7 linked regions of the Sus scrofa genome follow. The protein of the gene in region 1 interacts with the protein of each later gene in a pairwise test. Links are inferred from orthologs where the notes say so. Each region holds a gene or a part of one and is shown on either strand. Other genes may lie near its edges. The genes, in order: DHPS, REL, NIF3L1, NUDT18, EIF5A2, RPL9 and MAPK3.

Region 1 (2,149 bases):
GACACAGCCCCCTCTCCCAGACCTGAGGCTCATCAACACACAGGCCATCTTCGCCAAGCGCTCTGGGATGATCATCCTGGGTGGTGGCATGGTCAAGCACCACATTGCCAACGCCAACCTCATGGTGAGCAGGGATGGGGTATGTGTGGTCCCTAGTAGGGGTGGCCTGCCGTGCAGACAGGCTGGTCTCATGCCACATGCTGGGGAGACAGCTGTGGACTGGACAGGCCAGGATCTCTGTCTTCCTGGAACTGATGTTCTAGTCGGGGATATAGACAGTGGAACGAGTGACATGTATAGCAGGTGGCAGTGACTGCTATGGAGAAAAATAAGGGAGGATGGTGAGATGGGAAGAGAAAGGGGTGCTGTTCAAAAAAGGGAAACCATGGAGTTCCTGTCATGGCGCAGCGGAAATGAATCCGACTAGGAACCATGAGGTTTTGGGTTCGATCCCTCATCTCGCTCAGTGGGTTAAGGATCCAGCGTTGCCATGAGCTGTGGTGTAGGCCGGCAGCTGTAGCTCCAATTAGACCCCTACCCTGGGAATCTCCATATGCCATGGGTGCGGCCCTAAAAAGCCAAAAAAAAGGAAAAACAAAAAAATGTGACCTATGAGCAGAGGTTTTCAGGGCGTGCCCCTGTGAGGAATGTGGTTATGTGGCCGGCTGGAGGGTGGGGGAGATAACAGTTTGTGCAAAGGTTCTCAGGTGCCTGAAGTTGGTCAAGGAACAGTTAGGAGGCTGGTGAAGGAGAGTGGGAGGTGAGGGTGGGGGAGGTGATTCAAAGTGCAGGGCGGGGGCCTTGAGGGCCACTCAAGTGCTCAAAAGTGCCCTCTGGGGGAACAAATGGCGGGAGGGGAGGGGATGGCGCATAGAGAGGGGAGAGATACTTAGGTTTGGAAGTCTCTTGTTGAGTTGGTGGCAAATGTTGGAGGGCTGTTGCTACCTAGGAAGTGAGTCTGGAGCAGCGCTGCCCACTGTCTGCCTGGCATCCCCCAGCTCCTCACTCTACCCAGATGTTGACACTGGGCCTTTCCCTTGGAGGGAGGGGTCACCAGGGCTTCTTTTATATGGGATGGAGCCCTCAGCAGCCTCTGGCTGTGGTGCCCTGCCTTGGGATGTGTCTGGCTGACCAGCCCACTCTGCCCCTCCCCATAGCGGAATGGGGCTGACTATGCGGTCTACATCAACACAGCCCAGGAGTTTGATGGCTCTGATTCAGGCGCCCGGCCCGATGAGGCTGTCTCTTGGGGCAAGATCCGGATGGATGCACAGCCGGTCAAGGTGAGGGCTGGCCAGCCAGCTGGGGCACAGGGTCTCCCAGGCTGTGGCCACAGGTCCCTTGGCTCACCTGGGTCTCCCCCGCCATCCCCCCCACAGGTCTATGCTGATGCTTCCCTGGTCTTCCCACTGCTCGTGGCTGAAACCTTTGCCCAGAAGGCCAATGCCTTTATGCCCGAAAAGAACGAGGACTGAACACTGGATGGTGCAGCCCCAGGGAGGCCTCACCCCTCCTTTATTTATTAGTTTGCAGACCCAGCCAGCCTCTTCCCCACTCCCTGGTCAACAGCATCTCTAGAATAAATGGTCTCAGTGGTCCTTCTCAGGCGGTCTCTCTGTGTCCTTGGTAGTGGGTCCCCTGGCTTCAACCTGCGCCCCCCTCAGTCAGCTTCATAGGCCTCTTCCCGCCAGCACTGGACACTGCCCCCCATGGCGGTCAACAGGCAGGGCTCCGTGGGGTGGTAGGCCAGTGACTGCACCACACTGGGACCCACGGGCAGGGCCAGCACCAGGACACCCTGTGGAGGGAGGGGGTAGGGAGTGGTCATCAGTGTCTCTCTCCCCTCAGTCGCCTCTCCCCTGCTCTCAGCCACAGGCCGGTAATTGCTTCTAAGATACCATAAACCTAACCAGCTCCAAACTGAACCCCTCGGTCACTCATTCTTCCAGGTGCTGAGGCCAAACACCTCGAATCTTTCTCTCACACCTGACATCCCTTTGTCAGTAAATCCTCTTGGCTTGGCCTTTAGCCTAGGAACTGATGACTCTCATGTGGGTCCCCGCTTCCCCACCCCCCTGCTGCCACCTGGGCTCCACCTGCCAACTTGACGGTCTTAGTGCTCACTTCCTTCATCACCCTGCAGTCATGG
Region 2 (3,550 bases), on another chromosome or scaffold:
TCTCCTAAAACTGGAGAATATGAAATGACTTTTACTCTTTGGAGACCCATTAACTGAAATTCTGATATTTATCTTTCACAGTTCAAAAATACCTTTTTTTTTTTTTTTGCTTTTTACGGCCACACTTGTGGCATATGGAGGTTTCCAGGCTAGGGGTCTCATCGGAGCTACAGCTGCCAGCCTACACCATAGCTGCAGCAACACAGGATCTGAGCCGCATCTGTGACCTACACCACAGCTCATGACAGCGCCAGATCCTTAACCCACTGAGAGAGGCCAGGGATCGAACCTGCAACCTCACGGTTCCTAGTCAGATTCGTTTCCAATGCGCCACGACAGGAACTCCCAAAATACCTTTATAGGACCTTGGAAATTATATTTTCACAATTAACTGGAATGAAATTTTCTATGCCAAAATAACCAAAATCATTTTATAGGTATTTGTGAAACAATAAGCATTAGAGAAGTCAATTCTGGACTCCTGTAATAGTTACCATTTTTATTTGAAATGTTACATTAATTTCCTTGAAAATTTTTAGTGTGTTTATGTAATTTTAATTTAGAAATAATACTTTTAATAATTTCGTTCATTTCAGTTTTGTAAAAATACATTTCATCTCCCACAGAATCAAACTTGTTTTCTCATGGTGCAGTTTTGACAGAAACATCCAGGCCAGTTTCAAGTCAAGCAGAATCCTACTATTCCTCATCCATCTCAAGTGCATTGTCACATCCTGCTTCAACCATACCCACAATGGTACCTCAGCCTTCTTCAAGCTGGTCATCAGTGGCCCGCCCCACCTCACGCTCAGTCAATACAAATTCACTGAGTGGTTTCTCACCAGGGACCCTTTCCTCTAATTCACATGTTATCACGCCATTCCTGGAAATGCCTGTTATGAATGATCTGAATACTTCTAATGCTTGCATTTATAATAATACAAATGACATAGGCAGAATGGAAGCATCGTCTGTGTCACCAGCTGACTTATATGGTATTTCTGATGCCAGCATGCTGCCTCATTGTCCTGTGAACATGATAACGCCCAGTAACGACAGCATGAGGGAGACTGATAATCCGAGACTTGTGAGCGTGAATCTTGAAAACCCTTCCTGTAATTCAGTGTTAGACCCAAGAGACTTGAGACAGCTCCATCAGATGTCGTCTTCCAGTATGTCAACAGTCACCAGCTCCAGTACTACTGCTTTTGTTTCCCAGTCAGAGGCATTTGAGGGATCTGACTTTAATTGTGCAGATAACAGTATGATAAACGAGTCAGGACCATCAAACAGTACTAATCCAAACAGTCATGGTTTTGTTCAAAATAGTCAGTATTCAGGTATTGGCACTACGCAGAATGAACAATTGAGTGACTCATTTGCATTTGAGTTTTTTTAGGTTAACTTGTAAGATTTAAATGGTGAATTAATTAAATCTCTTGGAGTTCCCATTGTGGCTCAGTGAAAATGAACCTGACCAGTGTCCATGATGATGCAGGTTCAATCCCAGGCCTTGCTCAGTGGGTTAAGGATTTGGTATTGCCACAAGCTTCCATGTAGGTTGCAGACGTGGTTTGGATCTCACTTTGCTGGGGCATGGGCTGGCAGCTTGAGCGCCAGTTCGACCCCTAGCCTGGGAACTTCCATATGCCGTGGGTGCGGCCATAAAAATTTTAAAAATAAAAAACAAAATAAAGGAAACTTCTAAAAAAAGAATTCAATCTCTTTAAAGGTTGTCACCATTTTGATTTTATCTATGTAGATGCAAAATTTTATATTTCTCTGACTACAACTGTGACACAAGGGAGTTTTTTGGTTATGTTTTAGGGATGATAGTTCAAAAACATATTTATCAGAGGGAATAGTATCTTGAACAACACATGTTTGAACTGTGTGGTCCATTGTGCAGTACACAGATTTTTTTTTTACTGTTCAAGTACTGCAGTACTACACGATTTGAGACGGGCTGAATTCATGGATGCAGAATTGCAGAGACAGGAGGCCATCTGTAGAGTTTTAAAGTTAAACATGGATTTTCCACTGTACAGAGGCTCAGTGCCCCAACCCCTGTGTTGTTCAAGGGTCAACTGTAATTATAACTTTAGGTATGTAGAGGATGGATTGCTCTAACAGGCAGTCTTGGCTTGGGAGCTTCTTGTTTTGCTGGCAGAGAATTTGTCGAGATAAAATGAAAGATGAATTCTCAGTGCTTGAAGCTGCAGCTTAAAAAGGGAGATGAACTCATTTCCCACTTTCAGGAAGAGCTAGAAAAATTTGTCCAGCATTTACAGAAGACTTTTGCTTCAAAAGTAGATAAATCCACACAGACCGAACTCCTAGGCTGTGATGCATTGTGGAATCCTACATACAATTAAACTGGGAATTTCCTGGTGGCCTAGTGGTTAAGGACTCAGCATTGTCACTGCTATGGCTCGGGTTCCGTCTCTGGCCTGGGAACTTCCGTGTGCTATGAGTATGGCCAAAAAACCCCCCCTTTAAACCTGTATATACTCTTGGTATGCAGAATACAAAGTTGGAAACAGTCACAAAAGGAAAATTTTCCAAAATAGAAATTTAAAAGGGCTTTACTATTTCTTCTTTTATTATTTTTTTTTTTTTTCCTTTTGAAGACATGTGATCTCATTCTGTGTGTGGTGGGAATTGTCTTGAGAGTCCTGTCACTTTTTCGCAAGACAGACTGAGAACATTATAGCAAGGCTATAATGTTTTTCCAGGTACACTTTTTTGGTTTTTTAATTTTAATTTTTATTTATTTTTGGGGAGGTTTTTTTGTTTGTTTGTTTGTTTTTTGCTTTTTAGGGCATATGGAAGTTCCCATGCTAGGGGTTGAATCAAAGCTGCAGCTGCTGGCCTATACCACAGGCACAGCAATGCAGGATCCTTAACCCACTAAGCAAGGCGAGGGATCAAACCTGTGTCCCCATGGATACTAGTCAGATTAGTTACCACTGAGCCATTATGGGAACTCCCCTGAGCACTCTTTTATACTTCTTTTATGATGTATTAATATATTCTTAGTTAAGTGAACTAATTCATATTTGCTTTTAAGCAAATTGAAGGTAAAACCTGTAATGGCTATGCCATTGGAAAAATTAATTCCTTATTATTTTTGAGGCCCATGGGCCAAGGTGACCCCTAAGGGGTTTTCTGAGGCTTCTTGGAGTTTCCTAGATTTACATGTAAATAAAAATTTCTTTAAAATGCCAAATTGAGAGGGAACATACCTTGATATAATAAAAGCCATTTATGACAAATCCACAGCAAATACTCAATGGAGAAAAGCTGAAAGCCTTTTTCCACTAAAATCTGAAACAAGGATGCCCACTCTCACCACTTTATTCAACATAGTATTGGAAGTCCTGGTCACAACAACCAGACAAACAAAAGAAATAAAAGATATCCAAATTGGAAGAGGAGAAGTAAAATTATCACTGTATGCAGATGACGTGATACTACATATAGAAAACCCTAAGGACTCCACACAAAAACTGCTTGAACTGATCAACAAATTCAGCAAAGTAGCACAAGA
Region 3 (4,297 bases), on another chromosome or scaffold:
CAAAGCCATGGCAACCTGGGATCCAAGCCAAATCTGCAACCTACACCACAGCTGACGGCAACACGGGATCCTTAACCCACTGAGCAAGGCCAGGGATCGAACCTGAATCCTCATGGAGGCTAGTCAGATTTGTTACCACTGAGCCACAATGGGAACTCCGAAAAACATAAGAATTTTAAAGTGATTTTGTTTCGGTTTTGTTTAGAATCATTTTATACTCTACACTTCTACAGCTTATCATTTGTCTTGTCATTGAAATCTCCATGCAGTTTTATTTCCCTTGACTAGATTTCTAAAAATTATATATACAAAGACATTCATAAGAATTCTATAAAACTTACCATTTTTCTTCTTGATGGTTTCAGGATGTACTGTTACTTTCTTACAGTTTATTGACAGAAGTTCAAAAACGAGCCTCTATTTCCAAAAGAAAAAGAATTAATTCATTTCCCTCTTTTAACTCAAACATGCTCATGTTTCCTGCATATTTAAAAGAAAAATTCTCGAGGAGAACAGATCCCTCCCAAGTAATCCGGTTGTGGAAGCGATCAAGCAATCCTACTCATCTCCAGCCCCTAAACTCCTACTTCCCCTGCTTACTCTTCAAGAAGAGTCTGATACATTTCTGCCTTAAGCCTAGCATTGGGTTTTCCCTTCGCCTGGAACACTTACACTCAGTACGGCTATTTCCCTCACCTCCAAGTCGCTGCTCAAAAGTTAAGTCTCATTGACCTGATAAATCTATTTAATACTGTCTTAAAGATTTCCTTTCCCTAAAGCACTTAGCACTAATATATTATATGCTTTAATTGCTTAATTCAACAACACCCTCCCCTCCAGAATACTCACTCCAAGCAGCTTAAAAACTAAAGCATAGAGCGCTCTTCCAGTGTTCAAGTGAATGAAAGAGTAAGTGACGCTACCCCATACTTACTTAACCACTTCACTGAATACAGATATTTTTTTAGTCAAGAAATAGATTAAGATAGGAAGCTTGTGAGAAATTCAAGTGGTCAGGCAAGGAGGCTCTGCCCACAGCTGTTGTTAAAACAGCAAAGATTCAATAACAGGTGCTCCGGAGAGTCTGTAAATTCCAAGAAAGTTTCTTCAGGCCGCCACCCGGAAGTCGAGCAGGAGACCCACTTAGGAGAACGCCCCTCCTCTGCTCACCTCCTTCCTCCTCCTCCCTATCCCAAACCCAACCGACCAGAACGAGGGAGAGGATGTAATTTATCCCCATCAGGAACTCCTTTGACCTTAGAGAACTTCTTAAATAATCACACTAGGACAAAAGGCGTAATGTTGGGCAATCCCTACAGGCGCCCCTGAACTCAGATGCAAAATAGGAAAGACCTCTTCCGCCCAGCTCCCCCGCCCCGCCCACTTTTACGCCTCCAGGAAGTTCTGCGCAGGACCGGAAGTAGCGCTCTTGGCAACCTGGGACTGGTGATTCTCCGGTGGGTTAGATTCCTGCGTGCGGCAATGAGGCCCTGTCGGCGCGCTGTGGCCCTTGCAGGCTGAGGTTTTGGGGGTGCTGCCGCGAAAGGAGGCGGGGGAGGAGATAGGCGCAGAAAACCGGTTTGCTGCACCAGAGCCTAGGGTTCTAGAGCGGCCAGGGTCCTGACTCGCGGCTTGCCCACTGTGCTCCCCGCACTTTTAATTGTTCTGGAAAAGGCTTGAAGTGGGGCTGAAATAAGAGGGCGAGGTTCACAGGCTGTAAAGTGGGTCCTGCTAATAATACTTATTAACAAGCAGTGCTGACTTTAGGCCAAGCATTTTCTCCAACTTTACGGTGAAATCTTGCGACGATACCGTGAGCTGAACGCTATTCTATTCTTCAGAGATGGGAACCGCAGAGATAGAGTAATCTGTTTAGACAGCTGCGGCTCGGGGAGTCAGTCTGGTTTTAGGGTCAGGTGCCCTTCACACTGTGCCCTGCTGCCTCCTATTCTTGTTAATGAGCTACGCAGCTTGTAGATTCATAGGAAATGGTGGTTTTGTTATTTCCAAGGGCTGCTTCAGATCTAACAATAGATAACTCAAAACCAGTGTGGTGGCCCACTAGAGCTTCACTTTAGCGCTTGCCAGATTTAGAAGTCTGGGGAGTTGGAGTAGTGTCAGGGAATCTGGAGAGTGGAAGTGGTATAAGGACCCTTAGAAGATCTTCAAAGACCCCAGGCTCCAGTGGTTTGTGGAGGCTCCACATGACTCCAAACCATATACTGAATATGGTTTGGGGCCCATTTGCTGCCCATTCATAGAGTGATCCACGTACGCATCCCATGATTCTGGCTGCTGACAAAACACTTCATTTTTAAAATATGTTGTTGTTACTTTTTTCCCATAAAGCACCTTTTAATGTTTGTCTCTACCACCATAACTTAATTCTGCTGTGATAAGGGAATGGAGACTGTGCCGGTCTGTGCAGTAAGCATTTAGCACTGGCCTGTATTGGTGATACTGAGATACAGAAGAGATAGTTCCTGTTCTCTGGTAGCTTGCCAGTACTGTGGGAGACAGAAAACAGGAATGTAACATAAGAAAAACTAGGGCAGAAGCAGGTGGGATGGGGGAGGGGGACACAGAAAAGGAAGGTTTGTTAAGAAAAGCTTTATTTAGGAAGTCAAAGGGGACTTGGAAAGAAGGGTAATAGAGAAATGGAGAAGGCTGGTTCAAGCAAGGATGGGGTGAGCAAGAACAAGGATGTGGGGTGGGGGCAGGAAGGAGATGAACATAATTGTGTGTTATCTACCAGGCTTGTTCCTGGTGACTTAAACATAGTAATCCATTTGCTTCTCCAGATGGCCCGTGAGGTAAGTTATAGTCCCTCCATTTTGTAGATTCGAAGACAAGCTCAGAGGAGTTAAATGACTTAGCTATGATACGACGTGCTGGTAAGTAGCAAAGCCAGTACTTGAACCTCGGTTGAAGGATGGCAGCTCTTCTGCTCATATGCTTTGCTGTCTCAAAGGTCAGAGTCTGAAGTGCACGTGTATTTCATTTTCAGTGTTTTGACATCAGATACTCGGTTTCACCTGACTTCTCTATGTTGTTATCCCGTGTACGCCTGGCCTCCACGACAGTCCGATTTGTTCATTCCCTGATCTGCAGTTCTTCCCGTTCCTTCATGGATTTGAAGGCCCTCCTTTCTTCCTTGAATGACTTTGCATCCCTCTCATTTGCTGAAAGTTGGGACAATGTTGGATTACTGGTGGAACCAAGCCCACCACACACGGTGAGCACCCTCTTCCTCACCAATGACTTGACAGAGGAAGTGATGGAGGAGGCACTGCAGAAGAAGGCCGATCTCATTCTCTCCTACCATCCGCCCATTTTCCGACCCATGAAGCGAATCACCTGGAAAAGCTGGAAGGAACGCCTGGTGATCCGGGCACTCGAGAACCGAGTTGGGATCTACTCTCCTCACACAGCCTATGATGCTGCCCCCCAGGGAGTCAACCACTGGTTGGCTAAAGGGCTTGGTGAGAAGCCTATTGGTCTTTCATGCTTAGTATTTTCCCTACCAATGATGTGAAATTTTAGAATGTCTTTCCTGTAGTGTGTTAACCACTATAAGGGGGAGGACCATTATTCTGTTTTTATGTATTTTAAAATAATCTTGCTGAAACTTGACAGTTAAATTGCACTGAAAAATGAAAATTTGGGGAGTTCTCTTGTGCTGTAATGGATTAAGGATCCCCGGCATTGTCACTGCAGCAGTCCAGGTTGCAGCTGTGGCTGGGAATTTCCAAGGGCTGTGGGTGCAGCCAAAAAAAAGTGTTTTGTTTTGTTTTCTTTTCTTTTTCTCTTTTTATCCTTAATGAATAAGGAGTTCATCAGAAGTCTTTATTTATTTATTTATTTATTTGTCTTTTTGCTATTTCTTTGGGGCTGCTCCCACGGCATATGGAGGTTCCCAGGCTAGGGGGGGTCGAATCGGAACTGTAGCCACCGGCCTACGCCAGAGCCACAGCAACGCGGGATCCGAGCCGCATCTGCAACCTACACCACAGCTCACGGCAACCCCGGATCGTTAACCCACTGAGCAAGGGCAGGGACCAAACCCGCAACCTCATGGTTCCTAGTTGGATTCGTTAACCACTGCGCCACGACGGGAACTCCAGAAGTCTTTATTTTTGACTAAATTTTGTGATTCCTTACTCATGGAGCACAGTGCCTAGCATTTGGGCACTCCAGAAATGCTTGTTAACTGAAAGCTCAGGCCTCTCTAGAATCTACTTCATATGTCTAGTAAAATAGAGTTTTATTGAATTAGTCCCAATGTCTAGCATAATGA
Region 4 (4,121 bases), on another chromosome or scaffold:
TTCATGGCAGCTCTCTAGGCACATCTTGTGAAAGTGGGTCTTTGTGTGGTAGCAACAAGTGCTGTGGCCAGAAGGTTGGTGGGCTGCCTGTTGATGGTGACCCACACTTCGCAGTCTACCGGGCTCCTCTCACGACGTCTCACCTTCCCGACAGCCCTGGGAAGGAAGAGCTGTCAGGAGCTTACTGTACAGATGAGGGAACAGGCCCACAACTTACTCAGGGCACAGATCAGCCAGGGAGCAGTGGCTGGGCATCCAGCTCCAAGTCCAATGCTTTGTCTGCTCCACCAAGCAACTGTCACCCCAAAAGGGATGTGCCCAAAGCCAGCAGAAGGGAAATGGGAGATCTCACTGGGGCTGAGCAGCTCAGAAATGGCTGGTTTCAGTTTCATGCCAGCTGGCCCTGCCTCCCTGTCCTGAGAGGAGGTTAAAGACGCTCTGAGGAGGCAAGGTCAGGCCAGGGGAGAGGCAGGAGCTCCCCAAAAAACAACCCGCACCTGGCTGTCAATGGACCAGGCCCTGTGAAAGTGTTAGGGGTGTGTGTGTGCAACAATGACAAAAGGCAGAACCCCGCCCCTGGCGGGAGAGGGCCCTGAAACTGATGATTGGGAAATGTGGCCGCCGGAGGCGAGGGACCAGGGACACTGCTGAGGGCTGATCCCAGGCCCTTTCTCTGCATCAAATCCTCGCCTCCCAGCCTCCCACCGCCAGGCACACCTTGACCTTCCCAGCTCTGCTCCCTCCCTCCTCTGAGCGCCTGTAGCAATTCCTGCCCAAACCAGTCATTTAGCACTTGGCTTATTAAGTCCATTGACTTTCCATTATATAGCTATGGCCACCTCTCCAGCTGGATCGGAATCTCCTCCAAGGCAGGAGCTCTCGTCCTCCTTGCCCCGTGACATTCTAAGCGAAGAAAGGTTATTTGGGCAGTGTCATTTCAGGTAATGCAGTGGTATGTTTATGACAAAAGCTAGCCAGTGGGTCCAAGCCGTGGGCGGACCCGGTGACAGCATCGGGCTTGTGACGTCACCGTCGCTGGCGGCTGCGGCGCTCCGCAGCCTGCGGGCAGGGTGACGTCACCGTCGGAACCCGTTCAGACAAGTGCGCGCGGGAGGAATTAGCGAGGCTGGCGGCGGGAGACGCCGGGGAGAAAGGAGGGAGCCACCGAGCGTCAGAAGCCTGCCGGGGGCCGCAGAGCGGGGGCGCGGCGCCCAGCCCCTTATGGACTGGCTCCGCCTCACAGTGACGAACACGCTCTAGCCAATCCTAGCCGGCCGCGGTGACGCGTAGCCTATCAGCGGCCAGGGCCTGCCGGGTGCTTCCGCGTTCGCGAGCGCTCTCCGCCCGAGCCCGCAGGGGGAGGGGTTGGGGGCGACGAGTCCCTTGGTCACCCACGTCCACCCTACCCTTCTCGGCGGGTCTTCGGGGCCCTCCCCATCGCCTTTTAGGGGACCCGATGGCCTCGGAAGGCCTTGCGGGGGCGCTGGCGGCCGTTCTGGGGGGCCGGGGTCTGCGGGTACAGAGCTGCGATTCGAAACCGGCCGGGGAGCCGCTGGCGCCCGTGCGGCTGCGGAAGAATGTCTGCTACGTGGTGCTGGCCGTGTTCCTCAACGAGCAGGTGAGCGTCCGCCGGTCGGGCCCACCGCCCGGACCTCCGGAGCGCGCAGCCAGCCCCGGTGGGGACCGAGGACCTACCGGCAGCAGCCACCGCTTCCTGGTGTGTGGCTCTTCCCAGTTTTGCAAAGCACTCTTACACTTATATCTGAGCCTGGTGCGGCCGAGCCCTGCAATTGTCACGAAGTACAGAGGAGGAAACTGAGGCCCAGGAGCCGTCTGTCTCATCCCACTAGGCCTCAGTTTCTTGAGGAGAGGGCTGTCTCTTCCTCCTCTTTTCCCCAGAATCTAGCAAAGTGCCCGCCGCGACGTGGTTTTTTTTTTAAAAGATCTGTCCAGTTCTTCAGAGATTCCCCCCTTGGGTCCCATGGGCAGTAACTGCACAACCTGCGCTTACACTCTGACCTTCTGACTTCCTGTGTGATGCTCATTTTGGTGTAGATCCCTGCATAAGTGGCTTGTAAAAAGAGCTAGAAGGCGTCAGGGCCATAGGTAGGAGTTCAATGGGGCCATGGTTTGGGGTGTGTTTCAAAGCTGACAGCCCAGTGTGAAGACTGGCCACAAGCAGTTTATAAACCACGAGGGAGGTGGGAGAGATCATTGACTGGTGCAGACAGAAATCATGGCGGGGCACATGGTAACAACCCTCGCTGTGAGGCCTGTTCTCTGGCCCCTGAAGCAGCTCACAGGAATCTCAGCCCCCTTCTGAAATGGAAACTTGAATACAAAGTGGGATGAATTGCAGAGACAGCTGCAATCTACCAACACACAAGGGCCAGGCCCCTGGGGAGCTCAGCAATTTCAGGGTGTCCACTAGCAGCTGTACCTGAGCTTTGATCTCGGCAAGTGAAGGTTGCTGGCTGTCCCACTCCCCTGGAGCTCCCAGCCCAGCTGTGGTGGCTAAGAATCCTCTCTCTCCCCTCAGGATGAGGTGCTACTCGTCCAGGAAGCCAAGAAAGAGTGCCGTGGGTCGTGGTACCTACCCGCGGGGAGGATGGAGCCTGGGGAGACCATCGTGGAGGCGCTGCAGCGGGAGGTGAAGGAGGAGGCTGGGCTGCACTGTGAGCCTCTGACACTGCTGTCCTTGGAGGAGCGGGGCCCCTCCTGGATCCGCTTCGTGTTCCTTGCTCGCCCTACAGGTATGGCCCAGTGGGTGGCAGTGTGGGCAGGGGCAGTTGACACCATTTCCCCAGCTTGTTCTCAGGTGAGCTGAACCCCTGTTCTGGCTGGTTCAAGCCTGGCATCGCCAGATTCCAGTTTGAGACTTGACTCAGGGCCTCCTGTGCACCTGCTGGGTCAGAGCTCGATTCCTGGGTGGGCCTTTATTCTGCCAGGTCCAGCACTTCCCTCAACAGACTTTTTCCACGTCCTTTTCCCCCACATCTATCCCAGGTGGAATTCTTAAGACTTCCAAGGAAGCAGATGCAGAGTCCTTGCAGGCTGGCTGGTACCCACGAACCTCTCTGCCCACTCCACTTCGAGCCCATGACATTCTGCACTTGGTAGAGCTAGCCGTGCAGTATCGCCAGCAAGCCAGGCACCCTCTCATTCTGCCCCAAGAGCTTCCCTGCAGTTTGATCTGCCAGCGGCTTGTGGCCACCTTTACCAGTGTCCAGACAGTGTGGGTGCTGGTTGGCACTGTGGGGATGCCTCACTTGCCCATCACCGCCTGTGGCTTTGCTCCCATGGACCAGAGGGGTGGCATCAAGATGGCTGTCCTGAGGCTGCTACAGGAGTGCCTGACCCTGCACCATTTGGCAGTGGAGACCAAGGGGTTGCTTGGACTGCAGCACCTGGGCAGAGACCAAACGGATGGCATCTGCTTAAACGTGCTGGTGACGGTGGCTTTCCGGAATCCAGGTATCCAAAATGAGCCCCCAAAGGTTCGGGGTGAGAACTTCTTTTGGTGGAAGGTGGAGGAAGACCTACAAAGCCAGCTCTTACAGAGGCTTCAGGAATCATCTGTGGTCCCAATCAATAGATAGGAGGCTGCTGTCTGTGGGCCAGGACATGGGCATCTCTGCTTTAGAGGAGGCTTTGCCTCCTCTAAGGGGGACAGGGTTGGCAGTCAGGGATCTTGTCACATCAGAACCAGGACAGTTCTCCTGGCTCCGAGGGAGACTTCTGTCTCTCATCACCATGGACCAGGTTTCTGCATTGCACCAAAAGAGACAGTGCCTTCAATCAAGCAGAGCTCATAGACCCAGTTGCCCAAGGGGACAATGATGGCATGACTCCCTAAGGGGATGTGAGGACTTTCTGAACCAGGGGTGGCATCGCCTCATCATTTTCCAGGCCTGCCTCAGTGAAGGCTTCATCCGGATCCTTGGGCACTTGGAACAGGGAGGGGGCACTGAGGAAGGTCATTCCAAGGGAGTGGGTCCCTGGCTGAGTAAAGAGGTGTTGCTCACTTTGCCTTCTCACCTCATTGTCTCTGCGGGGAGGGAATGAGCAGGAAGGTGGTGGTGGGGCATTCCCACTGTGGCTCAGTGGTAACAAACTCAACT
Region 5 (4,230 bases), on another chromosome or scaffold:
CCCGCGGCATGTGGAGGTTCCCAGGCTAGGGGTTCAATCAGAGCTGTAGCCACTGGCCTATGCCAGAGCCACAGCAACATGGGATCCCAGCCGCGTCTGCAACGTTTACCACAGCTCACTGCAATGCCGGATCGTTAACCCACTGAGCAAGGGCGGGGACCAAACCCGCAACCGCATGGTTCCTAGTCGGATTCGTTAACCACTGCGCCACGATGGGAACTCCAGAACACATCTCTTTTTAAGAATCTTCGTCCTGGAGTTCCCGTCGTGGCGCAGTGGTTAACGAATCCGACTAGGAACCATGCGGTTGCGGGTTTGGTCCCCGCCCTTGCTCAGTGGGTTAACGATCCGGCGTTGCCTTGAGCTGTGGTGTAGGTTGCAGACGCGGCTCCGATCCCACGTTGCTGTGGCTCTGGAGTAGGCCAGTGGCTGCAGCTCCGATTCGACCCCTAGCCTGGGAACCTCCATATGCCGCAGGAGCGGCCCAAGAAATGGCAAAAAGACAAAAAAAAAAAAAAAAAAAAAAAAAAAAGAATCTTCGTCCTAATCCTATTCAAGTCGCTATTGGTACCACGTTGATTCCAAGACAAACCAAACTGCTCTAATGAGGTATGGACACACCTCAGACTTGAAGGAAGGCAATTCCAGGACGAAGGAAGAGCTGAGTTTGGCAAGAACATCTTTCTGCTGGATAACGCAGTAGGAATCTGACACTCATTTGCCTCCAAAACTCCGCAACAGCGTCCGGTGTGAGAAGTGAGTTAGGTCATTCCACAGCTTTTTAGTTCTTGGACGTCTCAGCCTCCTCTTCCCCTGCCCCGCCAGAGCGCTGCTGATCCAGGCGGGGCACCAGTGGCAGTGGCTGCCAGAACCTCATCATGGGTGGCTGGGGTCACCCGCACAGCCTGCAGTGGGGGCCAGGTAGACTACATTGGCTCTTCCCCAAGGAAGAAGCATGGTTTTGAAAGCCAAGAAGGGCTGCAAGTTGGGCCAGAAATGGGAACCCAAAGTTCCCTCCACAGCCACAAGGGATAACCATTGAATTATCAAGCCTCGCGAAGTCTGACAGCTGTCACGTGACAACCGCCTGGCACCTGAGGGCAAAGGCCACGGAGCGCGTGGCTTGGTTCTCCTTAACTTCAACTGAGACGCCAACGCAAAGAACTCAAAAGTTTGAGGGAACAAGTTTCCTTGCCGGCGTGTTTACCCTCAACAACCGAACTCCAGAAAGTGCTCTTCACGCCGGAAGTGCACTAATCCGCAGCACGTGGGGTTGCCAGGTCGCTCTTCACGTGACTGGGCGGGCCCTCGGGAACCATGTAGCCAATGGTAGCGCGAGAGGGCGGTGCCTATGACGCGCCGGGACCTATCCCGGAAGTGGAGCTGAGGTGGGGGCGGGAAAGGGCGGGGAGGCCGGGGTGTGGAAAGTGTGACGGCCCCGCCCCGTCTCTTGGAACTGCGGCGGCCGCCACAGCTGCCGCCGCCGCAGCTGTGGGGGACCCGCACCGGTGCGCAGGCAAAAGGCACTCTTTCCCGGCTGAAAGGTGAAGAATAGGGGAAAGGCTGGTGGGGCCGGGACCGGAGCGAGGCAGGGCAGAAGAAGCCGGCCAGAGCCCAGCCCCAACCGAGGAAAAAAGGAAGGATGGATGGGGGACCGAGGCGAGCGCGGGACCCGCCAGGGCTCAGGCCCGTGCGGGACCGGGCCGGGGATGCTGGCAGGACAGGGGGCGTCTGAGAGGTCGAGGTGACGGCGCTGCGGGCTGGGAGGAGAAGTGCGCACACGCTGCCCGAGGGCCAAGTGCTGCTGGCCAGGTGCTGTTATCCCCATCCTTCGCGGGGACGTGCGGCCTGGGCTGGGCCCCCCCACAGTGGGGATCCGGGCGGCTGCGGAGGGCCAGACTGCGCGGCACAGTGCGGGAAGGTCGCCAGCTTCTTCTGCGATGGGACTGTGGGGGCCGGGATTTGCTGCCCTCAGCGCGGGTGAGCGCCCAAGGCGGGGATTCCCCATCCACAGCCAGCTTTTCTTCGACTTCCCTCCCACCTCCCTACCAGAGGATGGAAAAGTTTGTAAGGCCAGAGTTAGAAAGTCCCTACTCTTCTGGGTGGGTGTTCTATAAATGCAAAAATAATAGACCCATAATGCTTGGAAACCCGAAATGAGGGGTTTCCCTGCCTGCATGCCAGTTGTTAAAAAGCAAACAAACTTTTTGCATAGTTCCCTCAGAAAAGCAACCATCTTCCCAGCCCACCATGGCGGATGAAATTGATTTCACTACTGGAGATGCTGGAGCTTCCAGCACTTACCCTATGCAGTGTTCGGCCCTGCGCAAAAACGGCTTCGTGGTGCTCAAAGGTCGACCATGCAAAATAGTGGAGATGTCAACTTCCAAAACTGGAAAGCACGGTCATGCCAAGGTAAATGCCCTTTCAGGTCTATCTCGGGGTTGGGATTTTGATTATTTGTATTCCATTACAGAACATGAGTTTTCTGTACTTATAATTGTTTAATATCCCATAGTTACTGGGTGATTAGCTATTTGAATACTGAAAGGTAATATTTCCTTCTTCGGCTCTTATAATGTTTCATTAACTGTAAACTGAAACTTTCCTGAATCCTAGTAACTTAGTCTATTTAGTTTACAAATGAAAAAACCTAACATCATTCTAAGGAACCTAACTTCATTTTTCTTAAGCATTCTTATGACTGAATTATTAGACTATATGATATTGGGTCTTGATATGTCATGATATTCTTTAGTTGTTCACTGCTTCTCAGTTGTATGCCACTACATTTTTTTTTTTAAGAAAGTAAAATTAGATGACCTTGGAAGGTGAAAGAATCTGTCATAATCAGTGCTGGTATTATGCTCCTGTGTATGTAATGAGTGATATCTTGGCAAAGATTAAACAGGTTTCCTGTTCTCCTTTCTCTGTTAGGTTCACCTTGTTGGAATTGATATTTTCACTGGCAAAAAGTATGAAGATATTTGCCCTTCCACTCACAACATGGATGTTCCAAATATTAAGAGAAATGATTATCAAGTAAGTACTAATTTCCTTTAGAATACTATTCATGTCCTCAAGGTGCAGATACTTTCTACTGCCATTGTAATTTAATAAAACCCACAAGTAGTTTTGTAGGTTTTTCTAACCAATTATTAGGTACCACTTACCATAGAAGATTGGAGAAATAGTAATATTTAACACCTGTACCTTAACTAGGATGATAGCTAGTCTGCATTTTTAAACATTCTTGCATTTTTTAAAATTCGAACAATCATTGTTTCTCAGATCAAGTGACTGACTCCCTATTGTTAGTCCAGTGTTTATTAAAATTACTATTCTCTTTGTTATAAATTATTTCAAGTTTAGATAACTCCCTCCTGGGTATTTCTTTTCACTTATCAGACTTCAGGTGCTCAAGAAATTATTGGAATTCATCTTCTGCCGACCAAGTTTGTGCATATTAATGAATGTGTGTCAGAATTTGGTGTTCTTAAATGGGGAAATTAGTTGAAAGTGTATAAAATATAGCGTCACTGAATATGGTGAAGAAAATACAAAAACTCTGTTTTTTGGGTTTTTTTGTCTTTTTGCCTTTTCTAGGGCCGCACATGCAGCACATGGAGGCTCCCAGGCTGGGGGTCCAATTGGAACTGTAGCTGCTGGCCTACGCCTGAGCCACAGCAATAGCAACATGGGATCCAAGCTGTGTCTACTACCCACACCACAGCTTACGGCAACACCAGATCCCTAACCCACTGAGCAAGGCCAGGGATCGAACCTGAAACCTCATGGTTCCTAGTCAGATTCGTTAACTACCAAGCCACTATGGGAAATCCGAAAATACAAAAACTTTGTAATTGTTTTATTTATGTTCCATGACCGTGCTGTGACCTTTGGTTAAATTATGTGTATAAACTGCAATTTTTAGTTACAGTTATACATTTGGATAAGTCATATTTAATGATAGCACTTTCTTGTTTGGAGTATTCTTGGTAACTAAACCACTGACCTCATAGGATGTGGGAGCTCAGATTAATCTTGAAAGTCTTCAATTTTTTTATCTTGTATTGAACTCTTTTCTATTCATTTTACACAGTGAAATATACAAGTGTAATACTCAGATTTGTTTTATCCAATTTAAGCTGATTTCTTTCTATACCTTATACTGTGTTGTATAATTTTTTTTTTTTTTTTTTTTTTTTTTGTCTTTTTAGGGCTGCACCC
Region 6 (4,278 bases), on another chromosome or scaffold:
CCTCAAAATTTCAATTACCTTTCTCCTTTCTGGCGTTTTAGGTTTCCTTTATAGTCATCCCAGGTGCTCTTGTCTGCAAGATCACCAGATAGAAAATCTTGAAGGTCTGGTCCATTCTGTAAAAATTCCTTTTTTTTATCTGGCAAGGAACTTATTGCTCTGACTGGACTGCATAAATATCTTCCAAATACCTACAGAAAGAGTTCATTGTGACATTTATTTAGGGGGCTTTGGAATAACTTAGTATTAAACTCGTTTAATACCTAAAAGGATGGGTAAAGCCACAGAACTGATTCAGAAATTATGTTAATCTATTTACGAGCTCAATGTAAGGAGCTCAGAATCTGAAATTAAAGATGACCCAAGGAGAACAAACCAAACCCAAAGGAGAATGGGAGCTACAGCTTTGAATTTTCTATTCCTGACTTGAGTCAAGTATGTTTAAATGAAATTTGAAATTAATCTCTCTGCTTTGGGCTTGAATAAGAATACCTGCTAAAACACGGAGGTAGTTCTCAGCTGATTTCAGAGAAGTGGAAGAAGGGAAACTAAACCTAATGTTTTAATTTTCTTGGTTATACTGTGTGTGAACAAGGAAGTCACTCATGTATTTGTTGACCATAAGAAGCCATCGGTTTCTAGATTTGAACACATACATGTACAAGACAGACAAAACACCATAAAATTCAAGAGGTAGTACTGTTAAAGCAAAAGAACCTTCAACTATTAAAAAAAAAAAAAAAAAAAAAAAAGAGTGCCTATTAGGATGCTGCACGATAGCTACTGTACTTGCCCAGGTCTCTCGCTCAAGCCTGGAGCACAGACTTGGGTTTTAATCGCCCAAAGTGGTGTCTAGTACACAGGAGACACCAACACCAAGTAGTAATTTGGAGTTTCATTGCAGCGCTTCTATAGTGCTCCAATAAATACAAGAGTACAAATCATTGCATTGATAGCAGGAAAAAAGGTCTCAGAGCGCGGGCCACAGACTTACAAAAAAACCAGTATCAGGTCTTAACTTCATGACCATGTCAGAATTAAATGAGACGCTATACGAAAAATGTTTAGAACAGTACCTGGCTAGAAGTAAACGCCGGGTAAGCGCTGGCATTATCGGGCACTTTCAGGGATGGGAACCCCCACCCCACGCCCGCTCCCTTTTCGCCCCGCCGCTCACCCGGGGGCATACAGTGCGGACGGCGCCCCGGCAGCGTAGAGCCATCCTGCACTTTTTTTTTCTGGCAGGGAGGAACAATCACTAATTCCCGGGAAAAGAGAAGGACACACCGTCGCTCCACTTATGACAAACAACCTGAGCCAACACTGACCCGGTGGAACCTGCGCTGCTCTACGATTGGCTGCTTTAGCCTCGTGGTGTCGCGCGCTTATGACGCCATACGCAGGACCCTTACGTACTACAAAAGCGTGATGACGAAAGACGCTCTCTCTTTGCCGCATCTACTGCGAGGTAAGGTGGATTCTGTATTCGGTGGGCCTTGGGAATCTGAAGGCATCGGCTTTGGGAAAGCCAGAGGTGCGGGTGTGGCCCTCGGAAACCGTGTCTTGTTTGTCTCCCTGCGCGGCGAGCGTCATATGAGTCTGGTGGCGATGGGGTTCGAGCCTTGTATTGGGCTTTTAGGCCTACTGCCGCCCTTCAGCCTTGCCGGGATGGCGCCGACTTGATAGGACTTCCCAGAGCTGCGCTGACCGGGAGTTCGCCCGCTGGGTTTTTAATAACTGTTTAGGAGCTGCTCCTTCCAAGCCAAGGCGCAGCTGGGGCCGTTTCCGGGATTAGTCCTCTGTATCCTCCCCGAGATTTTTGCCTGCCGGTCTCTGGTAGGAGTGGAGTTCTGTGCAAGGTAGTTCGGCCCAAAACAAATCCTGTGCGACCTTCTTACCCAAGTGTTTGTGTTTCAGAATGAAGACCATTCTCAGCAATCAGACTGTCGACATTCCAGAAAATGGTAGGAGACTTGGTGCTTGCTTTTTTCATATGTTTTTACTGCGTGCGTTCTAATTTGTTTCGATGCCTCACGAGTATGTTTCTTTCATAGTCGACATCACACTAAAAGGACGCACAGTCATTGTGAAGGGCCCCAGAGGCACTCTGAGGAGGGACTTCAACCACATCAATGTAGAACTCAGTCTCCTTGGAAAGAAAAAGAAGAGGGTGAGTTTTGTTTAATCACCTCAGTTTGTTTGGAAAGTTGTAATTTAAGAATATCAAGTTGTTTTAAAAACTACAGAATTGAGCAGCAACATGGATGGAATAGAGACTCATACCAAGTGAGGTACGTTAGAGAAAGACATACCATTTGATGGATAATTTTTTCTCTGGAGTCTAACAGCACCAAAGAATTTACCTACAGAAAAGAAACTCTTGGACTTGGGGAACAGACTATTGGTTCTAGTCTGTTCTAGTCTAGGCGGAGGGAGTGGGATGGACTGGGAGTTTGGGGTTAGTAGATGCAAACATTGCATTTGGAGTGGATAAGCAATGAGATCCTGCTGTACAGCATAGGGAACTACAGTCACTTGTGATGGAACATGAAGGAGGATAATGTGAGAAAAGGAATGAATATTTATATGTATGAATGAGTGACTTTAAAGCAGAAGTTGATGGAATGTTGTAAGTCAACCATAATAGAAGAAATAAAAACTTTTGAGAAATTATGGAATTGAGGTTCAATGTTTTATCTTATAATTTAGTGTCCAAAATTGTAACTAGTTTTTTTTTTTGTTGTCGGTGCTTTAGTGAAATTGGAAAACCAAAGTAAACTGGGTTATAAACCTCAGTACTGGTAATATTTATTAAATAGCAGGCCTTAATACTGTTAGAAATTGGGTTTATTTTTCTTGATTGTTTTGTAAGGATCATAGTGGTGCAGCAGAGTTCTTTTGAACCTGGTATTTTAGCTTTCCAGAAGTGAAGTTTGATGCAACTTGTACAAAACTTTCTGGGTTGTTCCTCTGTGAAAGTGTATACTTCTAATGTATAGTAACAAAAACCGTTAATTGCTGAGGGCTTTGTGGTTGCTTTTTTTTTTTGTAATTAGGACAAATACTAGAATCTAGAGTAATTACTGTGGATAAATGGACCTTATTTCAAGGCTACTTAATACTGGAAAGAATTTTCTGAAGTTTTTGTTCTGTTACAGCTCCGGGTTGACAAATGGTGGGGAAATAGAAAGGAACTGGCAACTGTTCGCACCATCTGTAGTCATGTACAGAATATGATCAAGGGTGTTACACTGGTAAGCAGATTAATCAGACTTCTTGTCTTAGAAGGGGGAGGTTTGTCAGCTATCTTTATGTATGCAACATAAATGTCTATTGTAGAAAATACTTTGTGCGAGTAACTTATACTTGCATATAACTTAGCGGCTGTAGTATTTTGGAAAAGGTGATCTTGGCAAATGTGTTAGGTATTCCTGGGTCTTATGATAAAGGGAGATACATAAGTCTAGACCAGATGGTCTTGATAATACGCTGATTATATATATATTTGTTTTACCCGAAAGATAACATTCACAATTTCAGGGGGGTTTTTAATAGAAAATGTTAACACATAGAATGGTTGGTTTCTTGTCTTATGCCTCTCACCACCAGGGTATCTTGTGGGAATTAGGGAAAGATTAAGTCTTATTTCTGAGCTTTCAGTCTTTAAGGTAAAGTTGATTCTGGATATTTGCTGGAGTGTTTCTGTTTCAGCCTTTCTAGAGCGCAATCTGATAGCGGCACCCTGTACGCAACTCCATTATAAGCCTTTCAGGCCATGTCTCCCCTTGTGTTTCCAGTCTTTGTTTGCGGGGGGCGGCGGTGGTGTCTTGATATTCTCAATTCTGGCCCTCTGGCATACCATAGTAATTCAGTATGTTAGCCTAATGCCCAAGATGAAGGGCTTTAGAGTTATACTTTAATAGGAGGCTAGCATTGTTCACCACGGGCAAAGGAGGTAGTAAAATATCTGCTTCCTTAGGAGCTTTGCAGTCCATTGAGGAGACAGAAACAAATGTATTTAAAATTGTTCTGAGGGAGTTCCCTTTGTGATTCAGCAGTTACAGACCGAACTAGTGTCCATGAGGATGTGGGTTCTATCCCTGGCCTTGCTCAGTGGGTTAAGGATCTGGCGTTGCTGTGGCTGTGGTGTAGACTGGCAGGTGCAGCCATAAAAAGCAAAAAATAAATAAAATTGCTGTGAAGCTTTGGTGTGGGTGATAGTTTAAAAAAATGACAATGATGGGAGTTCCCGTCGTGGCTCAGTGGTTAACCATGAGG
Region 7 (4,305 bases), on another chromosome or scaffold:
CCCTCTCTCCAGTTTTTTAGCAGACTCTGATTCTGGGAAACAGAATGGAATTAAAAAGAGCCTCTGCTTCTCTGTCAGAAGACACCATGTTGAGTCTCAGCTCCCCAACTCCAGATTTCCTGTTCTGTAAAACTTGATTCATCCATTAATTTTTTTTTTTTTGAGTGTCTGAGGGTCGAGGATTCAGCCATGAACAAGAAAGACATGGCCCCTGCCTACCCAGTTAAGAAAGGCAGATGAGAAGTTCCCGTCGTGTCACAGTGGTTAACAAATCTGACCAGAGCCATGAGGTTGTGGGTTCGATCCCTGGCCTTGCTCAGTGGGTTAAGGATCCAGTGTTGCCCTGAGCTGTGGTGTAGGTCACAGACACGGCTCAGATCTGGCGTGTCTGTGGCTGTGGTGTAGGCCGGCAGCTGTAGCTCCAATTGGACCCCTAGCCTGGGAACCTCTATATGCCGTGGGTGTGGCCCTGAAAAGCAAAAAGAAAAAAAAGAAAGAAAAGCAGTTGACGTTTATATTGTGGGATTGTTCTAATGAAGCGACTAGAGTGGGCCAAGTATTAAGTATATGTTCAAGTCTCATACAGAATCAAAATATGATGATCTTAACAGGATTCCAATTTTTGCCAAATCCAATGACAGAAAAAAAGTTACCCGTCTTGCTATATTTGGGCAAAGCCTGATCGTGTCAACCTTGCATGCAGCTCTCTGGACTCTCCCCCCCTTTCCCTGTAAAGGAAGCATGGGATCATCAATGATATGATCCTGGGGATACCAGTACCGCCTGGGTGCTGAGGCCAGGTCCCTAGCCCACTCTGGCAGGCCTCCAGTCAAAAGCCATTAGGCTGGGAGTCCGGACACCTGGGCTTTCCAGATCTCAAGTTGTCTGCGCGATTCCAAAGGACCTTGCGCTGCTCAGCCTTCAGTTTCCTCATTTGTGAAAGGCAGGCTACCTCTAGGAGAAAGCCATCTCCCACCGCTTTTGTGAAATATGCATGGGATCACTTAGCATCGGGCCGGGCTCAGGGAGGCCAAACGCCAGAGGGCTGGTGAGGGTCCCCTAAGGTTCCATCTGGAGCCGGACCACTCAGCCGGGCTGAGTGGGGCTGGCAAAAGCAGCGGGGACCAGGCGGCCCAGTCTTGGCCCCTCATCCCAGCCCTTGTTTGGTGGCTCTGGGTGAGGTCACTGGGGCGGCCCTACTGGCTGTTCTGCATTGGAGGGGGGGAGTGGGGTTCTGGACCGTCTCAGACGGCCCTGGGGAGCTTCTAGATTGACCGAGTAGACGGAGCCCACAAGTGCCAGGGACCATGGCATCCGTGCCCAGAAAGCTGGGCGCCGCTGCGGGGGGGTGGGGGTCACGTGACGGGCGCGGGGGCGGGCGGGGGCGGGGTCTGGCGCGCGCGCGGCTCCGCGGGTGACAGGGCGGGCGGGAAGGGGCGGGGCCGCCGGGGGGGGAGGCGGGCGGGCGGGAGGGGAGGAGTGGAGATGGCGGCGGCGGCGGCGGCTCAGGGGGGCGGGGGCGGGGAGCCCCGGGGAGCCGATGGGGTCGGCCCTGGGGTCCCGGGGGAAGTGGAGATAGTAAAGGGGCAGCCGTTCGACGTGGGCCCGCGCTACACGCAGCTGCAATACATCGGCGAGGGCGCGTACGGCATGGTCAGGTGAGGGGCGTTCCAGGGGAGGGGGCGTCTTAGAGGAGGGCGATCCCAGGGAGGGGTGCTGAGAGCTCTCTAAGGCCTTGGGGTCTCTGAGCATCGTGAAGCCGCAGGGGCTTCGGGAGGCTGGAGAGCGCCCCAGGGAGAGGGCCTTGGAGTGCTTTCTGGGGGAGGGGGCGCTGCCTACGATCTAAGAAGAGGGGGGCTTGGGGGGTTTTGAGGGGAACCTTCTCTAATGAAGGGAAGGGCCTCTAGGTGGGGGAGCTGTGGGGACCTTGGGCAGTCTATAGCCACAGGGCGAAGAGAAGAGAATAAGTCTTCTGGGGGAGGTCATATCCTTGGTGAAAACGGCAGGAAGGACCCTTCCCAGGGAAAGGGCGCCTGGGATCTGCCCCCCGGGAGTCGAATCTAGGAGTTTGGGAGAGAAGAGCAGAGCTCAGGGCTGGACAGGGTGGGGCAGGGCTTTGGGCCTGGGGCCAGGGACCCAGTGAGCAATGAGGGGGTCCCGGAGTGCCTTCTTGCAACTTTCAGGAGGGCTCTGTGAGTTCTCCCAGCCCCACTGGGGGCCCTGGGCCTTTGTTCATCAGGGATTAGCTCTGCTGCCCGGGAACCTCCCCCTGACACCCGCCCCTGCTGCATCCCTTCTCTCCCATCCCTCCTTCTTCCTGGATTCGCCTCCCTGTATGTCCCTCACACCTCCCGCCCCTGGCCCTGTCTTGGGTAGAGGGAGCCCATCCGGGGAAGGGGAGGATGAGGGGTGAGGGCCACTAGAATGGAAAGGGTTGAGGAGAAGGGAAGTCAGCGATCGGTCAGTCCCTTCCTCTGTTTGTGAAGTCACTGAAGGGCTGCCTGGCTGGTCCCCAGCTTTCTCCCTGGAGATCCCAGGCCTTCACAGCAGGAAGGAACCAGCATTGTTTATGACTGGCTCTGGCCAGTCTCTCCTGCTCCCTCCCCTCCCTGCCAAGGCCTGGGTGGGGCCCGCCGCCGGGCCTGGACTCCCCCCGCTTGGTAAGGCCACACCACCAACATCTCTCCGGCCCTCTCAGCTCAGCTTACGACCATGTGCGCAAGACTCGAGTGGCCATCAAGAAAATCAGCCCTTTTGAGCATCAGACCTACTGCCAGCGGACCTTGCGAGAGATCCAGATCTTGCTACGCTTCCGCCACGAGAACGTCATTGGCATCCGAGACATTCTGCGGGCACCCACCCTGGAAGCCATGAGGGATGTGTATCCTTCACCTTGGCCAGACGGCTGGCCGGGCACAGCTTCAGAGCTGGGCTGGGAGAATGTTGGCTTGCTTTCTGTTTCCTTCTTCCCTACCACCCTTCCAGACAACCCCAGTTCAACAGACTTTCCAGCAGAAAGAGGCCACAAGGTGTACGAGGACCGGCCAGGCCGTGTGGCCTTGGGCAAGTCTGTTCTCTAAGCTCTGCCCCAGGAGGGGGCTGGGGAAGATGGTGTCTATGGGAGCTTTGTCTTGTGACATCTGCCGTCCTGTGACGTGACCCAGCCTCTGCCCACAGTCAGTTCTTTTGTTTAACAGAGGGCGATTCTTTCTTGCCTGGGTCCTCGGACTCGAAGGAAGAAAAGTGCCCCCTTTTTGAGGGCCTACTATGAGTCTGGGTGCATTGTGCACCGAGTGCGTCGACATTTCTTAATCTGACCCCCAGCTGCCCTCTGCGCTGGGGCTCATCAGCCCCATTTCAAAGAGGAGGAGACTGAGGCTCAGAAAGGCCAACGTCAGGTGCCTGTGGCTGCCTCCACCCTTCCCCCAGATGAGAACCTGTCCTCCTGTCTCTGGGACTTCCCGCTTAGATCCCCACCCTGATCCCCCGTGGACTTGCACCTTGCCCAGGGAGGGTCAGCCTTGCCTTCGTTGCCCTCCCCCCATTGCCACTTTCCTAGCTTGTTGTCCACTTCCTGCCTGGCACTGTTAGCAGCTCGTAACACCCATTGCCTCTCCCCTACCCCACCCCCCAGTCCCAGTCCTCCACCCAAGAGTGGGGATTTGTACTGCAGTGTCTGCAGCCCCCACCACAAAGTGTGGGCAGGAAATCTCCATGCTTACCCCCAGCTTCCCGTGTGACCTTAACCAAGTCACTGCACCTTGCTGGGCTTCCTTATCTTTAAAACAGGGGAAGTTGCCGTCGTGGCTCGGCGGTAACAAACTCCACCAGTATCCAGGAGGATGCGAGTTCGATCCCCTGCCTCAGTGGGTTGGGGATCCAGCATTGTCATGAGCTGTGGTGTAGGTCGCAGACTCGGCTCGGATCCCGCGTGGTTGTGGCTGTGGCTGTGGCATGGGCTGGCAGCTGCAGCTCCCATTCTTCCCCTGGCCTGGGAACTTCCATATGCTGCAGGTGTGGCCCTAAAAAGCAGAAAGAAAAAACAACAACAAACAACGCAGCAGGGTTGGTCCGGATGTTCTCAGAAGGCCCTTTTGAGGCCGATTCTGACAGTCCTAATTTATTCTTCCAGAAACAAGTCATGTGACATTTCTTTATGTTTAATCTGTTTTATCTTAGGATCTAAAAGGACTCATATACCCCTCGATCTTCGGGTGTATGGCCAAGCACCCTGAGTAGGAGCCTGCTGTTGGGGGTTTCTCCTCATTTGTCTTGCACAAACCATGCCCAGAAGGCAGGCATTTA

What was found.
Region 2: the proteins of DHPS (region 1) and REL interact in binary tests that used the Homo sapiens proteins (3 or more experiments, as listed by UniProt). The two-hybrid records come from large-scale screens. The link is inferred for Sus scrofa from reciprocal best matches to the Homo sapiens genes DHPS and REL.
Region 3: the proteins of DHPS (region 1) and NIF3L1 interact in binary tests that used the Homo sapiens proteins (3 or more experiments, as listed by UniProt). The two-hybrid records come from large-scale screens. The link is inferred for Sus scrofa from reciprocal best matches to the Homo sapiens genes DHPS and NIF3L1.
Region 4: the proteins of DHPS (region 1) and NUDT18 interact in binary tests that used the Homo sapiens proteins (3 or more experiments, as listed by UniProt). The two-hybrid records come from large-scale screens. The link is inferred for Sus scrofa from reciprocal best matches to the Homo sapiens genes DHPS and NUDT18.
Region 5: the proteins of DHPS (region 1) and EIF5A2 interact in binary tests that used the Homo sapiens proteins (3 or more experiments, as listed by UniProt). The two-hybrid records come from large-scale screens. The link is inferred for Sus scrofa from reciprocal best matches to the Homo sapiens genes DHPS and EIF5A2.
Region 6: the proteins of DHPS (region 1) and RPL9 interact in binary tests that used the Homo sapiens proteins (3 or more experiments, as listed by UniProt). The two-hybrid records come from large-scale screens. The link is inferred for Sus scrofa from reciprocal best matches to the Homo sapiens genes DHPS and RPL9.
Region 7: the proteins of DHPS (region 1) and MAPK3 interact in binary tests that used the Homo sapiens proteins (3 or more experiments, as listed by UniProt). The link is inferred for Sus scrofa from reciprocal best matches to the Homo sapiens genes DHPS and MAPK3.

What each region holds. Positions count from the first base shown.
Region 1 is NC_010444.4:66,306,169-66,308,317, forward strand, and holds the end of DHPS (deoxyhypusine synthase), read left to right. Parts: intron 1-20; coding exon 21-124; intron 125-1,157; coding exon 1,158-1,283; intron 1,284-1,379; coding exon 1,380-1,475; 3' UTR 1,476-1,605; downstream 1,606-2,149. Other genes in the region: WDR83 (WD repeat domain-containing protein 83), read right to left, coding at 1,661-1,798. UniProt on the Homo sapiens protein: Catalyzes the NAD-dependent oxidative cleavage of spermidine and the subsequent transfer of the butylamine moiety of spermidine to the epsilon-amino group of a critical lysine residue of the eIF-5A precursor protein to form the intermediate deoxyhypusine residue.
Region 2 is NC_010445.4:80,874,204-80,877,753, reverse strand, and holds part of REL (proto-oncogene c-Rel), read left to right. Parts: intron 1-626; coding exon 627-1,399; 3' UTR 1,400-3,550. UniProt on the Homo sapiens protein: Proto-oncogene that may play a role in differentiation and lymphopoiesis.
Region 3 is NC_010457.5:104,582,352-104,586,648, forward strand, and holds the start of NIF3L1 (NIF3-like protein 1), read left to right. Parts: upstream 1-1,449; 5' UTR 1,450-2,657; coding exon 2,658-2,813; exon of another isoform or gene 2,814-3,007; coding exon 3,008-3,482; intron 3,483-4,297. Other genes in the region: PPIL3 (peptidyl-prolyl cis-trans isomerase-like 3), read right to left, coding at 342-344. UniProt on the Homo sapiens protein: May function as a transcriptional corepressor through its interaction with COPS2, negatively regulating the expression of genes involved in neuronal differentiation.
Region 4 is NC_010456.5:6,378,893-6,383,013, reverse strand, and holds NUDT18 (8-oxo-dGDP phosphatase NUDT18), read left to right. Parts: upstream 1-1,301; 5' UTR 1,302-1,456; coding exon 1,457-1,618; intron 1,619-2,539; coding exon 2,540-2,753; intron 2,754-3,006; coding exon 3,007-3,599; 3' UTR 3,600-4,027; downstream 4,028-4,121. UniProt on the Homo sapiens protein: Mediates the hydrolysis of oxidized nucleoside diphosphate derivatives. Hydrolyzes 8-oxo-7,8-dihydroguanine (8-oxo-Gua)-containing deoxyribo- and ribonucleoside diphosphates to the monophosphates. Hydrolyzes 8-oxo-dGDP and 8-oxo-GDP with the same efficiencies.
Region 5 is NC_010455.5:109,527,618-109,531,847, reverse strand, and holds the start of EIF5A2 (eukaryotic translation initiation factor 5A-2), read left to right. Parts: upstream 1-1,397; 5' UTR 1,398-1,544; intron 1,545-2,215; 5' UTR 2,216-2,250; coding exon 2,251-2,415; intron 2,416-2,937; coding exon 2,938-3,042; intron 3,043-4,230. UniProt on the Homo sapiens protein: Translation factor that promotes translation elongation and termination, particularly upon ribosome stalling at specific amino acid sequence contexts.
Region 6 is NC_010450.4:30,696,357-30,700,634, reverse strand, and holds the start of RPL9 (60S ribosomal protein L9), read left to right. Parts: upstream 1-1,445; 5' UTR 1,446-1,468; exon of another isoform or gene 1,469-1,534; intron 1,535-1,917; 5' UTR 1,918-1,918; coding exon 1,919-1,964; intron 1,965-2,054; coding exon 2,055-2,170; intron 2,171-3,158; coding exon 3,159-3,254; intron 3,255-4,278. Other genes in the region: LIAS (lipoyl synthase, mitochondrial), read right to left, coding at 19-191, 1,077-1,187.
Region 7 is NC_010445.4:18,296,570-18,300,874, reverse strand, and holds the start of MAPK3 (mitogen-activated protein kinase 3), read left to right. Parts: upstream 1-1,464; 5' UTR 1,465-1,485; coding exon 1,486-1,658; intron 1,659-2,698; coding exon 2,699-2,881; intron 2,882-4,305.